Oryza sativa Japonica Group: one gene and its partners. The protein of the gene in region 3 binds, or shares a complex with, the protein of the main gene of each other region. Links are inferred from orthologs where the notes say so. Each region holds a gene or a part of one and is shown on either strand. Other genes may lie near its edges.

Region 1 (3,577 bases), on a different chromosome or scaffold from region 3:
CTCTCTACATCTCAAGTTAAGATCTGTTGAAGAGATCAGAATAACAAGTTTTGGCTGAAGGGCCAAGCCACCTGGGCTTGCTTATGAAACTGATGATGGATCTAGGATGGCTCCCTAGCTCTGTGCAGAGATACCTGCAGCATACTCTAAAGCTAGAGTAGAAGGGGAAAGCCCAACATGCTTTAGGACAGTCTAACAGAGCTAGTTTAAGCATAAATCAGTGTTGAACAATAACATAAATCTAGGTGACCGACACAACAAGCCACAAGAACGTGGGCTTGGAGACAGTTGTACAGTTTTGAAACGTTTGATAAAACAGTGAACTTGAGTTTGGAGCAAAGCAGGGCACCAAAATTCCAAGCGAACTATTATAGACATGGCCTAATTCTCTTGTTTTTGTTACTCCGTATTCCAGAGACACTTCTTTAGAACTCTGCATATCTGCCTCTTATAGTATGTACGTACCCACAACTTTGTGACAGGTGAATTTGAATAGGCAGTTTGAGTTTCAACAAGTGTATAGCATACACTCGTTAAGCACAGTTTCATATATCAGTAATATAAGTGCATATATGGACAACACATTTTGAATAAACTGAAATTTACACAAATGGAATTGGTAATAGAACTTTTGGTTTTGACAGCAAGGACTTGGAAATCAGTTAATGTGAATTACATATCAATCCATTATAAGGAATGAAACCACAGGGAGAAAGAAACCTTCCTTCAAGACATGCATGAAATGACTTCTACAGACTGTCTGCTTTTGTGGCTCTCTATTCCTCCTTGTTCTCCCTTAGAGATGGTGGTGGTCTAACCACGATGCTTTGCTTCCATTTCCTGTCAAGCTTCCTAGACAATCTCTTGTTGATTCCTTGTTCAATTTCCCGTTCTCTTTTGACAGTCAGCATACGAGCAATCTGATGCGAAGATGACAACCCAAGTCAATGCTAAATTTAGATAGTAGAAAGCTGCTATTGAAGCAAGATGAGCAGGGTGAGAAAAACAACAGGAAAAAAAAATCTGATATCCTCCTCCTAAAAGGCAAGAAGCATTGATCGAGGCAGATATAAGTATGCATTACTCTGCTGCTAACTATTTGTCCTGTGCTGTCCCTGAGCAGAGGTGGAGACCTGAACTCCAAAGCAAGTGATAATTCATAACAATTGACTTATCAGAAGCCCTCAAGAAGAACAAGGTATCACATAACTGACCGTAGAATTAGTTCTTGTGTACTATCTGCATTTTGACGTCCTCAGAACAAAGTTTTGTTCCATTTTAAATTTTGGTCCACTGAAGGTTAATTTAACACTACTTTCCCAAGAACAGTATAAAAGCTCTTCAGATACACATTGCATTGCAATATCATTCTTCATGTAGTACTCTATGCACTAAAATCCAATAAACAATACTACAAACCCAAAGTAGATACTATGTAAGAATACGTAAATGGATGTCAGCATGACTTTCTAATCAAATTAAGTAAAAAAAAATTGCTTCTGAGACTGAAATTGTCCAAGCATTAACCCAAATCATCTGTAAATTCAGTATGGGCCAATATGCAACTGATAAAAATCAGGCAAAATTCCACCAACAAATTGGTAAGTTATTCCACTATTCTGAACCTGAAATCAACTCAATATATCTGAACATAATCAACTCAGTACTAGAGGTTGAACAAAAGGGCCTTGTAAACAGAACACACTGAGCAGAACATGCGACCACTCCACACCCATTTGGAAGTAGAAGGTGGAATTTCCACTCGTAGGTTGAACGCATTTTGGCCAGGAGTAAATGCTAAACTTTCGCAATGGAATTAGCAGTTGTGGTATATCTGTACCCCATGGAGTAAGAGACATACCCTCTTGCGCATGCGGCCGAACTCGCTGGATTTGAACTCCTGGCGCGCGGAGCGCTTGAGGCGGAGCATGAAGAGCTCCCCCTTCAGGTCCACCACTTCCTCCTCGATCTTCTCCGTCGGCATGGCCCGAATCTCCTCCAGCTCCTGCTCCCTCTTCGCCATCCTGGCCACGGCCGCGTCGCCCCTCCCCGCTGGCAGCCGCGGCGGCGCCGCCGCCGCCGCCAGTCCCGGGAACGGCGCCAGCGACGCCCCTCCGGTCAGGAGGCCGAGGAAGGCCGTGCGGGGAGTGGAGACGGCGAGCCCACGGGGAGTCGAGGCGAGGGGGGACGCCGCGGCGAGGGACATCGTCGCCATCTTTTGCGCTGCGCTCGCGTCTGCGCTCTCTGCCGGTCGGGGTTCGTGGATAAGGGGGTTTATCTGGTCATGTTGATTAGCCACTCGGGGCACGAATCTTCAAGCATTATCGGACGGCTTTCACTTGCTTAATATGCATGTCACATCTCTAAATATCGAAATCTACGCGGATTCGCGTGCAAATAACCCCTCCACGTGGCGCTGCACGATTCCAGCTTTCGTCTCCCTCTCGCAGCCGTCAGATCACAGATCAACGGTGTGGAATAGCTGCGGTGGACCTCGTTGTAATATGTGAGGTTTTAGGGGTCTTTTTGAAAAAGTTATACCAAACCTGCAATGCCCTTCTCTCCGCCGGCGCCCCCGCCCCCGCTTCCTCCGCCTCATTCGTCGGAGGTCGACTTGTCCTCCTACGCCGATGTCGCCGCCTCTTCCTCCTCCCCGCGCTCCAGCTCCACCTCCGCCCCTCCGACGCCCTAGGCTGACCCTCCCACGCGCCAGCGCGCCGTTCTGTGCCGTCTTTCCCCTCAAGTTCGGCGGCGGTGGCATAGATCCACCTCGTCGCTGGATGGGGCGATGAGTTCGGTTGCCGTGCTTGGGGATGGGGAGGAGGAAATCACATGCATCGCTACGTCCGTCTTCGCTTCTGCCTTTTGATTCGCCGACCGCCTCTCTCCCCAAGTCGCGGCACCAAGGGGATCTCGGACGGAGGCCACTGGCCGTGCAACAAAGGGCGTGGCTGAGGACCGTGCTACCGCCGCCGGATGCCGTCATGCAGGAGCGGGAGCTCCCTCCCCTGCTTCCCTACGGGTTCACAGTTTCACACCACAGCTGATTAATTCCACCTGTAATTAAGAAAAAAGAAGGAATTTCTTTTGTTGTTTTCGTTGATTTTTGCGTGTTACACGATGCTACTGAATAATGCTCAGATTGGCACCAAGGAATGAATGAGTTGCCAAAAATTAACTGTCACATTGTAACATGTTTTGTCTTTGTCTGAAATCTGAAGAGTTGGCCTTTCTTGACTTACAGTACGAGGGTGGTGCAGCTGAGGGTAGCAGAAGACCAAGCATCTGGAACACCTTCACACATCAGCACCAAGGCATGTTAACTACATCTCTGTTCACCTTTGCCTGCTTAAGCTGTGCTCTGTACAGAATTATGTTAATCAAGTTCAATTAAGTGTATTTGTATATCTACAAGTATAAAATTTGTCCTATTTAGCAACCAGAAACACTTCAACGATGTAAAGCAGAAATTAACAAGCTGAATACACAATGACAGAAAGGTATGCAGAATCAAGAAGCATATGGATTGTGCATCAAGTCTGACTGTTGCACTCCTTTTTTGAGAGAGAGAGATTTG
Region 2 (3,809 bases), on a different chromosome or scaffold from region 3:
TTGATAGAACTGGGAGTACGGAAGATAGTCTCTTTAAGATGGCTAGGTCAAAATATAAGCAAAGGAGGACTCAACAAGATTTGAAAAAAAAAACAACAATCAGGTCCTCCTCTGTCTTATGCCCACATTGGTGGTGACTGGTGACATACTTGATGGCAGTGGGTGCTACATGGACACGGCGAGCTACAGAAGATGTTGCCTTGACGCATTCCCAAATAGGGTTTCACAACAATAGAGGTTAAGGCCATGACAATTCATGAAAAGGTTCATCAATACCATAGATGAGTACATCCAGAGCTAAATGAGATTGTTCTTGGAGCAGAACCATCAAGGTCGACAACCTAATCGTTGATATTGGTGATAGAGACAAAGATTTCATGGCAAGTTGCATAAAAAAGCACCAAGAAGCTTACCTTATTAGGGCCTCCATAGCCTAAGGTTGAGGAATCCAAGCATATAGCAAACAAAACTCAACTGCTTCTTGAAGGTTTGCCACCAATAAAGAGGAAGAAAACTATCATCCTTGCGAAAAGCCTGCTGGAGAAAAGAAAGATAACTTGCCTAACTTCCCTTAACTAGGTCTAGCTTTCTCCTAACTCACGGTGATAGAGAATTACCCGGTGTTTTAGAGGGATACCACTAGAGAAGAAACTTCGATTGCCTTCTCCATGAAACCTAGGACTAGAAGGCCAACATCGCCGACCTTCACGCTCAAACTAAAAGAAAAACCCAACTAAATTGATTGACCTACAAAGAGAGAGTTTGTCGGACTTCTCTCCCTCACCTCGCCGGCGGCAAGGTCACCCGAGCCTGTGAGGAAGAGGGGTCGAGGAGGCGTAGTAGTTCAGTTTGGCTCTTTCGTCCGAGAGTTCACGAGAGTTCTCATCACTCGTGTTAATTCGCATATTCTTTATGGTCTAATCAACACATTCGATCCAACTCTTTTATAATCTTTAACTGATTAAATCAAACGATTCTAAACTTTAGAAAGGAGAAACAAAATGAGTACGTGCAGTATCGCTAAAAAACTAGTAGGGCATAGTTTCATGTTTTTCATGGGTATCTAATCTGAGCCGTTGATCTCCAATCGAACGGCTCAGGGTAACCTCCCTATCCACAATATTATCCCTCTTCTTTCTTTCCGATACGATAGCCCACACTCTCATCCACACTGCTCTTCCCCCCCGCGCGCCGGCCATGGCCACCGCGACGCTGCCCCTCCGCCTCCTCGCCTCCAAAACCCTAGCCTTCCCCTCCGCCCCGTCCCTCCCGGCCTCGCGATGCTCCCTCCCCGTCGCCGCGTCCGCGCCCCGCCGCTGCTGGCGGCTCCTCGCTTCCGCCGAGGAGCCGGCGCCCGCACCCGTGGAGGCCGAGGCCGAGGCGGAGGTGGTAGAGGAGGAGGAGGTTGAAGAAGAGGAGGCTGCGGTGCCGGAGCCTGTGGAGGCGCAGATCGCAGCCGCGGGCGCCGGGAAGGACGCCGACATCTTCGCCGTTGTCATGGTGGGGCTAGCTTGCCCTTGCCGCCAATATTTCAGATTTAGTCCTGCTCGGCTCACTGCAAACAAACAAAAAAAGAATCACATTTGTTCATGCTACATTACCTCGAATTCTTTAAATAATATCATTACACAGGCATTTGGCGCTAGTTGCGTTGCTTCTTGCGGTGAAGTGAGCATTTGATTTCAGGCTTGTGTTGCTTACTCTATGCTGCATAAGAAGCTTAGGATTCACGCGCCAATAGGAATGCGCGCACGCCGATTATTAGTATGTACAGGACACACCATTAAGAAAACGGCGCAGAGAATTACAGTGTTTTCGAATGATACAATACTAGTCTTACAGAGAATTGTTCGGATGCATTTCTGAAATATGCAGGAGTGCATCTGAGGAGGGTTTCTCTGTGTTTTGTTTTGTATGAGCGCTGTGAATAATAACGAGGGAGCTATTTTGATTATTTTTCTTCTGTCGCAGATTGGGTCGAGACAGTACATTGTGATGCCTGGAAGGTATATATACACGCAGAGGCTGAAAGGCGCCAATGTCAATGATCAGGTCTGGTGCTTCCACTTTAGAGGATGCAGGAGGATACTTGTTACACCCTAACTAGAAATTTGGCCTATTTTTGCTAGTTAGTTGGTTTGTATTAATCCATAAATTTAAAAGGTATATGATGCTGAGGTGGCTTCTAGATAAGGTGATTGTAAATTAGGAAAAGGCAAATATATAGTATTGGTTATTTGGTTATTATTCTTTTTCATCCATGAGATGCAATAACAAACTTCAAAACAACGAGGAAGGTTGTACATTCTGAAATTATGGAAAGTGGTAGTGACCTACTTCATTTTAGAAGTAAAAGAGTCACTTCCCTGTAATTATAACACTTCAATCCCAGTTCCTGATTTCACATAAATATCTTATTCAGAACTTTTCGATAAGTTTTGTGTAGCCTGCATATATTAGCTTCGTTCCTTTTCTAACTAAAATTACTCCTCTGATGCAAAGCTTCCAATCCCATAGGACCCATACGTTGGCTTATGTTGCTGGCATTTTTAGTATTGTTTTCCCAGAAATTCTCACTTCTGGATAATGCTGATGTGCAGATAATATTAAACAAGGTATTACTGGTATCAACTAGAGACAAGGCTTACATTGGCATGCCAGTGGTGACCAATGCTGCTGTTCATGCAGTGGTTGAGGAACAGGTATGTCCTCTGTATGTTGTCGGGTTAATCATGGATATTCAAAATTACTTGACCCTGATGTCTCCCCAATATTTTTATATCAGGGACGGGATGATAAAGTGATAGTCTTCAAATATAAGAAGAAGAAGAAGTACCAGAGGAAACTTGGTCACAGACAGGTAAGTTTTTCCAATTACCTTCTTCAAGAAAGGTAGAATTTTATTGATAAATACTGATTCAGTTTTTACAGCGAAGCAATTAGAGTTCTTTTAGATTAAAAATCTCTGTTGTTTTGCAGCCAAACACAAGGTTAAGAATTACCGGCATAAGTGGATACGAGGACTTCCCTGCTGACCCGATACTTGAGTATGTTCCAGCTTAAGAGCAATTGTAAGTTCTGTAGTTACAAACAACTGGTAGTACATTAGAATACGAGTGCTACCTTTTCTTGTCTGGAAGAACAGTTTTTGAACAAAATTTGCTTTGTTCATGTGTTCGAGTGCTGCCAGTCATCCAGTTGTTCCATCCTTTGTTTATTCCACCATCTGTTTTGTTCATTCTGATATTGTGTATCCTAGCCAACTGTATTATTTTCACTGTGCTTAAAAAAAGAGAGAGCATTTTACCACGATACGGATGTTTTAGCTTTGGTTTGTGTAACTTTATACAGTTTTTGTGACTACTGATGCTAATTTCACTGTTTTTGGCATCTGTACCAATGGTGCTTAGTTTATTGAACGGGCTATGTCCTAATATTTTGGGATCAGTTACAGTACTATGTTCAATGCAGTTCTGGTCATGATTTATTCGAGTGTTCTAAGAGAAGTTCTGCAAGGCCATATATAAGGTGTTTGTGTGCAACCTTGTACTGCTTAGGGCACATAAGCAGCTGGTTAGGACTTAGGCCATATAAGCATCTACAAGGCAGGTGGCTGCATGGATTCTGCTTACCACTTTTTAGAACCTTGGTTCATGAAGAACTGCAGAAGTTTTGCCCTTTTGAATCCTTACCAAAGATAACCAGTGGCATAAGGCGTATAATCTTTTGGCAAACTATGACTGTTTCAGTAGTCCTTCACCCCTAATTGCATATTACAGTTCTGAATTATAGTGGTTTTCAGACATCTT
Region 3 (4,076 bases):
TTGGGCCCTTTTCATAGATATATGAGCACAATATAGCCCAGTTCATTACCTAAAGGGCTAGATTTTTCACAAATGCTCCCACTCCTGTCCTTCAGTTAACCGTTATAAATGATGGTTGTTCCTAACAGTCAAGTAGCCTACTTTACCTGTTTTCTCTATTTTGCAGATTTGTTGTGATGCTTTACATAACTGTTACGGAGGCACTATGCAGGCTAAGTAGCAGATTACCATCATCATCAGTCATTACACGATCATTTGCTCTATGGCTGATAAGCCGTGGAAAAATGACGAAGCAACCAAAAATAACTTTTGAGTAAAACGTCTATATCTATGTTCTTAGCGATTCAAAAGCCAGCACTGGAGAATAAAGCACAATAAAAAAAACCCCTCAAAATCAATTCTAAATTAAGTTTCAAAATCCAGATTTTGGCTGCCGTTGATAAGCCAACAAACGAACGATGGAGCTATGCATCCATGCATATCCTCAAATTCAGTTGGCACAAACAAAATTTCAAACCTTCTATCTACGAATAACAAGGTTAAAAAAATGTCTATCAACATGTCTGAAAATCGAACCACTGAAATATATTGCACACACAATGAAGACTACTAAACAAGGTAGCAATATATCAGTAGGTTTTCTCCCAGAAGTGCATCTATGAGGTAAGTACTGAGATGACGTAAATGGACAACTTCTTTGAACAAAAGGGCAGGAGTTCTGCCTATTGCATTGAACGAGGATAAAACAGAAGTTCACCAAGGATCAAAGAAGGTAAATGGACAGTTACCCACCTTTCACTCAGGGTCACAATAACCAAGCAAATGGGAGAGAAAACCACAAGCAACAGTGTCAATACATATAGTAATCTGTAGAATTTCCATTGTACCTGAGTTATGTTTGGAGAAACAGTCCCAGCTTTGGGGTTAGGCATAAGTCCTCTCGGTCCTAGAATCTTTCCCAATCCGGCGACCTGTGAAGCAAAAGACCAAAATCAACAACATAATATGCCGAGCTAGTAGCACACCTTTAAAACTTCCATGCAGGTCTTGCATGGAGCTCAACACTTATTGCAGAACTGCATCCAAACTTCCGAAGAATGTACCAATTCAAAACAGTAGAACCTTATTTGCTTATCGAATCTATTTTCTCTGAGTGAACCAAATTTGCATATCTCCATTATGGCTCAAATCATAATCGTAAATGCTAGACACTTGTAATATGAAGGGATGGATCAGATATGGCAGGTAATGATAAGAAAACAATATCTGATCAATACAACTAAATGTTGCCTGGTTTTGTGGTTCCTAATAACACTGAAACATAACGTGTTCATTTGGATGTGGGATAAACTATGTCGGAGACATGCAAAAAGACAAGTCTTCATAATGCTTGGAATTGTTTTAGACATGAGTTATGCAGCTAATGCCATACCTTAGGCATCATATCAGGTGATGCAATCAGCTTGTCAAATTCCATAAATCCTCCTTTTATTTGGTCAATCAGGTCATCTCCACCGACAATATCAGCTCCTGCAGCTCTTGCTTGATCTATCTTCTCACCTGCAAGGATATTTGACAATAGCCATTACATAGTGCTAGTGATTAGTGCACCACTTTAGTGACTAGCGCGCATTCACATACTTCCATTTCAATTCACTATATAACAGCGTGCTTCCAATTTAATGAACCGTAAATAACCACATGATCAAGCAGGCAAACCACACCTAAAAGACACAACTAGCAGTGACCTAATCAATCCATGCACCAAAGATTGCAATTGGAATTGGTGCTGCGATAACAATCTCCAAAATGTAATTGCAACCCACCTTGTGTGAGGACCGCAATCTTCACCGACTGGCCCGTCCCCTTGGGCAAATTAACCTGCACATCATCACCAAAACCGATCCAATATCATCAAAAACGATTGATAAAACACAAGCCAGAACAGAACGTACGTAACAATGGCAACAGCAGAGAGAAAGAGCAATAACCGTGGCGCGGAGCTGCTGGTCGTTGTACTTGGGGTCGAGGTTCATGCGGAAGTGCGCCTCAGCGGACTCGACGAATCGGGCGCTGGCCATCTGCTTCACCAGCGAGATGGCCGTGGGCACGTCGTGCTCCTTCTTGCTCTCCCTCAGCTTCTGTATCTCCAGGAATCGCTTCGACCTCGTCTGCAAACCCATCAAAAAAAAGGCGAACGCGGCGTCAGCGTCAATCCAAAAATCAACACGAATGGATGAACACGCGGGGGGGAGGCTGGATTCGGGGGGGGCATACGCGGTCGCGCTTGAGCGGAAGGGCGGCCTTGCCGGTGCGCGGGCGGGTGGGGGGCGTGAACGCGGGGCCGCGTCCGCCCTCGTACCCGTCGTCGTAGTCGTCGTCGTCGTACTGCTCCTGCCCCTCGTCCTGCTGCTCCCCCTGCTCCTCCTCGAGCACGGCGCCCTGCGGGTCTGCGACGGCGGCGACGGCGGGGCGGCGGAACGCGAGGAGCAGGCGCGGGTAGTAGGCGCGCAGCGACGGGACGGGGGTGGGGAACAGCGCGGTGGACGAGGAGGAGCAGCACTGCGCCGCCGCGGCGCCGGTGGTGGCGGGGGCGGGGGCGAGGAGGGAGGAGGCGGTGGCGGAGAGGGAAGCGGCTGTGGCCATGGTGGTGGTGGTGGTGGTGGGGAGGGGGGAGGAGATAAGCCGAGGTGGAGGATAGAAAGGGGAGGAAAAGGCGAAGTGGCAGCGCGAGAGTGTTATAATAGCCGGTGAGGCGAGGGCGAGGCGAGCGGGCGAAGCGCGCAGCGGATAGGGCTCTCTCTCGCTCGCGCGTCGCGGGGGACGGGGGAGGACTCGTGCGATTTGGGCTATTTTGGATTAGCCGAGCCGTGTGTGCCCGCGCGCGCGGGGGAGACGGTTGGGGGAGGGTGGTGCGCTGCGGCGCCGCGGGCGTCGGATTGGGCCCAAAAGCTCACGATTTCGCCGTTACTGGGTACGGTCCAAAAGAACCACCGATAATGTAGTGCTATTTACTTTTTAAAAATACTACGAACCATTACCCATAATCTGTTAGTTGCGAGAGTATCAGAAATGTCTGGCCGTACCATCAGAGTACCTACACTCTCTATCCCAAAAGATACAACTTCTAAGAGTGTTCACAGTAGAAGGATGTGACGTTCAGCCCCATAGCCAAGAACTGAATATTCGGCGCCGCATTGACAGTACGCGGAGCCAAATAAGGTTCTCGTACCCAAACATGGATACTCGTTCTTCAAACGAAGAAAGCAGGGAGAAAGGTGAGTTGTCGTGTTGTGGAGGGCGGAGCCTCACACGAGTGGCTTCGCGCAGCGTCGACAGCGAGCGCATTGTCGCCACAGCCACGGGGAGAGAGAGAGAGGAAGGCGCCATCGACGAAGAGGCTGCGACCGCCACCGTATCCAATGATGAGGATGGGAGCTCGCCGTCCGGCACCGTCGCAGCTCGGGCTGCCCTGACAGCCGCCGCCGCTCAGCCCCAGCGCCTCGGATGCCCTGGTGAGAAAAGAAATAGAGTGAGAGATTGGGGGATGAAAGATTTCGGATGAGAAAAGAAACAGAGGAGAGAGAGAGATTGAGAGATGAAAATTGAAAAAACTGTACCGGTGGGACCCACTACTAGTACTTGCATTGTAGAGGATGAAGCTTAACAGGTTCTTCGTCTACGTGGCATATGAGGAACGGCAAAAATATGTAGCGCACTGTGAATGTCCTAAGAATGTTGTCCGGATTCATTCCTAGAAATTGATTTTTTATGGGACGAAGGAAATAGGAACCAATACGAGAGTCTGATAATGTGGTATTAATGGATATCGTGTCTGGTAGTACCAGATCCAGTGCACATACAAATATGATACCTACGATCCTGTGCTGATGTTAGCACCATAAGGTATTCTGTTGTAACAGTATAGTGTTATGTAGTAGTTCTTTTTTTTTTGTCACATGCAAACTTTACAAGATCTCTTTTAGAAAGAATATTGGAAGAAATTGGACTGAATGTCTTAATCTTATGCAATTCATGGGTTCTGAGAGCATCAACAATGCGTGTCTCCAGGGCGT

Evidence for each region. The genes of interacting proteins can lie anywhere in the genome.
Region 1: large ribosomal subunit protein uL1c (region 3) and large ribosomal subunit protein uL29c share a complex: the UniProt entries of both Arabidopsis thaliana proteins name them as parts of the 50S ribosomal subunit. The link is inferred for Oryza sativa Japonica Group from reciprocal best matches to the Arabidopsis thaliana genes EMB3126 and AT5G65220.
Region 2: large ribosomal subunit protein uL1c (region 3) and large ribosomal subunit protein bL21c share a complex: the UniProt entries of both Arabidopsis thaliana proteins name them as parts of the 50S ribosomal subunit. The link is inferred for Oryza sativa Japonica Group from reciprocal best matches to the Arabidopsis thaliana genes EMB3126 and RPL21C.

The regions. Positions count from the first base shown.
Region 1 is NC_089036.1:32,213,725-32,217,301, reverse strand, and holds large ribosomal subunit protein uL29c, read right to left. Parts: upstream 2,247-3,577; 5' UTR 2,216-2,246; coding exon 1,862-2,215; intron 921-1,861; coding exon 777-920; 3' UTR 501-776; downstream 1-500.
Region 2 is NC_089036.1:9,030,857-9,034,665, reverse strand, and holds large ribosomal subunit protein bL21c, read left to right. Parts: upstream 1-1,151; 5' UTR 1,152-1,197; coding exon 1,198-1,500; intron 1,501-1,971; coding exon 1,972-2,052; intron 2,053-2,600; coding exon 2,601-2,702; intron 2,703-2,785; coding exon 2,786-2,860; intron 2,861-2,979; coding exon 2,980-3,063; 3' UTR 3,064-3,309; downstream 3,310-3,809. UniProt on the Arabidopsis thaliana protein: This protein binds to 23S ribosomal RNA in the presence of protein L20.
Region 3 is NC_089039.1:18,889,727-18,893,802, reverse strand, and holds the start of large ribosomal subunit protein uL1c, read right to left. Parts: upstream 2,826-4,076; 5' UTR 2,647-2,825; coding exon 2,278-2,646; intron 2,172-2,277; coding exon 1,992-2,171; intron 1,882-1,991; coding exon 1,827-1,881; intron 1,561-1,826; coding exon 1,433-1,560; intron 972-1,432; coding exon 888-971; intron 1-887. UniProt on the Arabidopsis thaliana protein: This protein binds directly to 23S ribosomal RNA.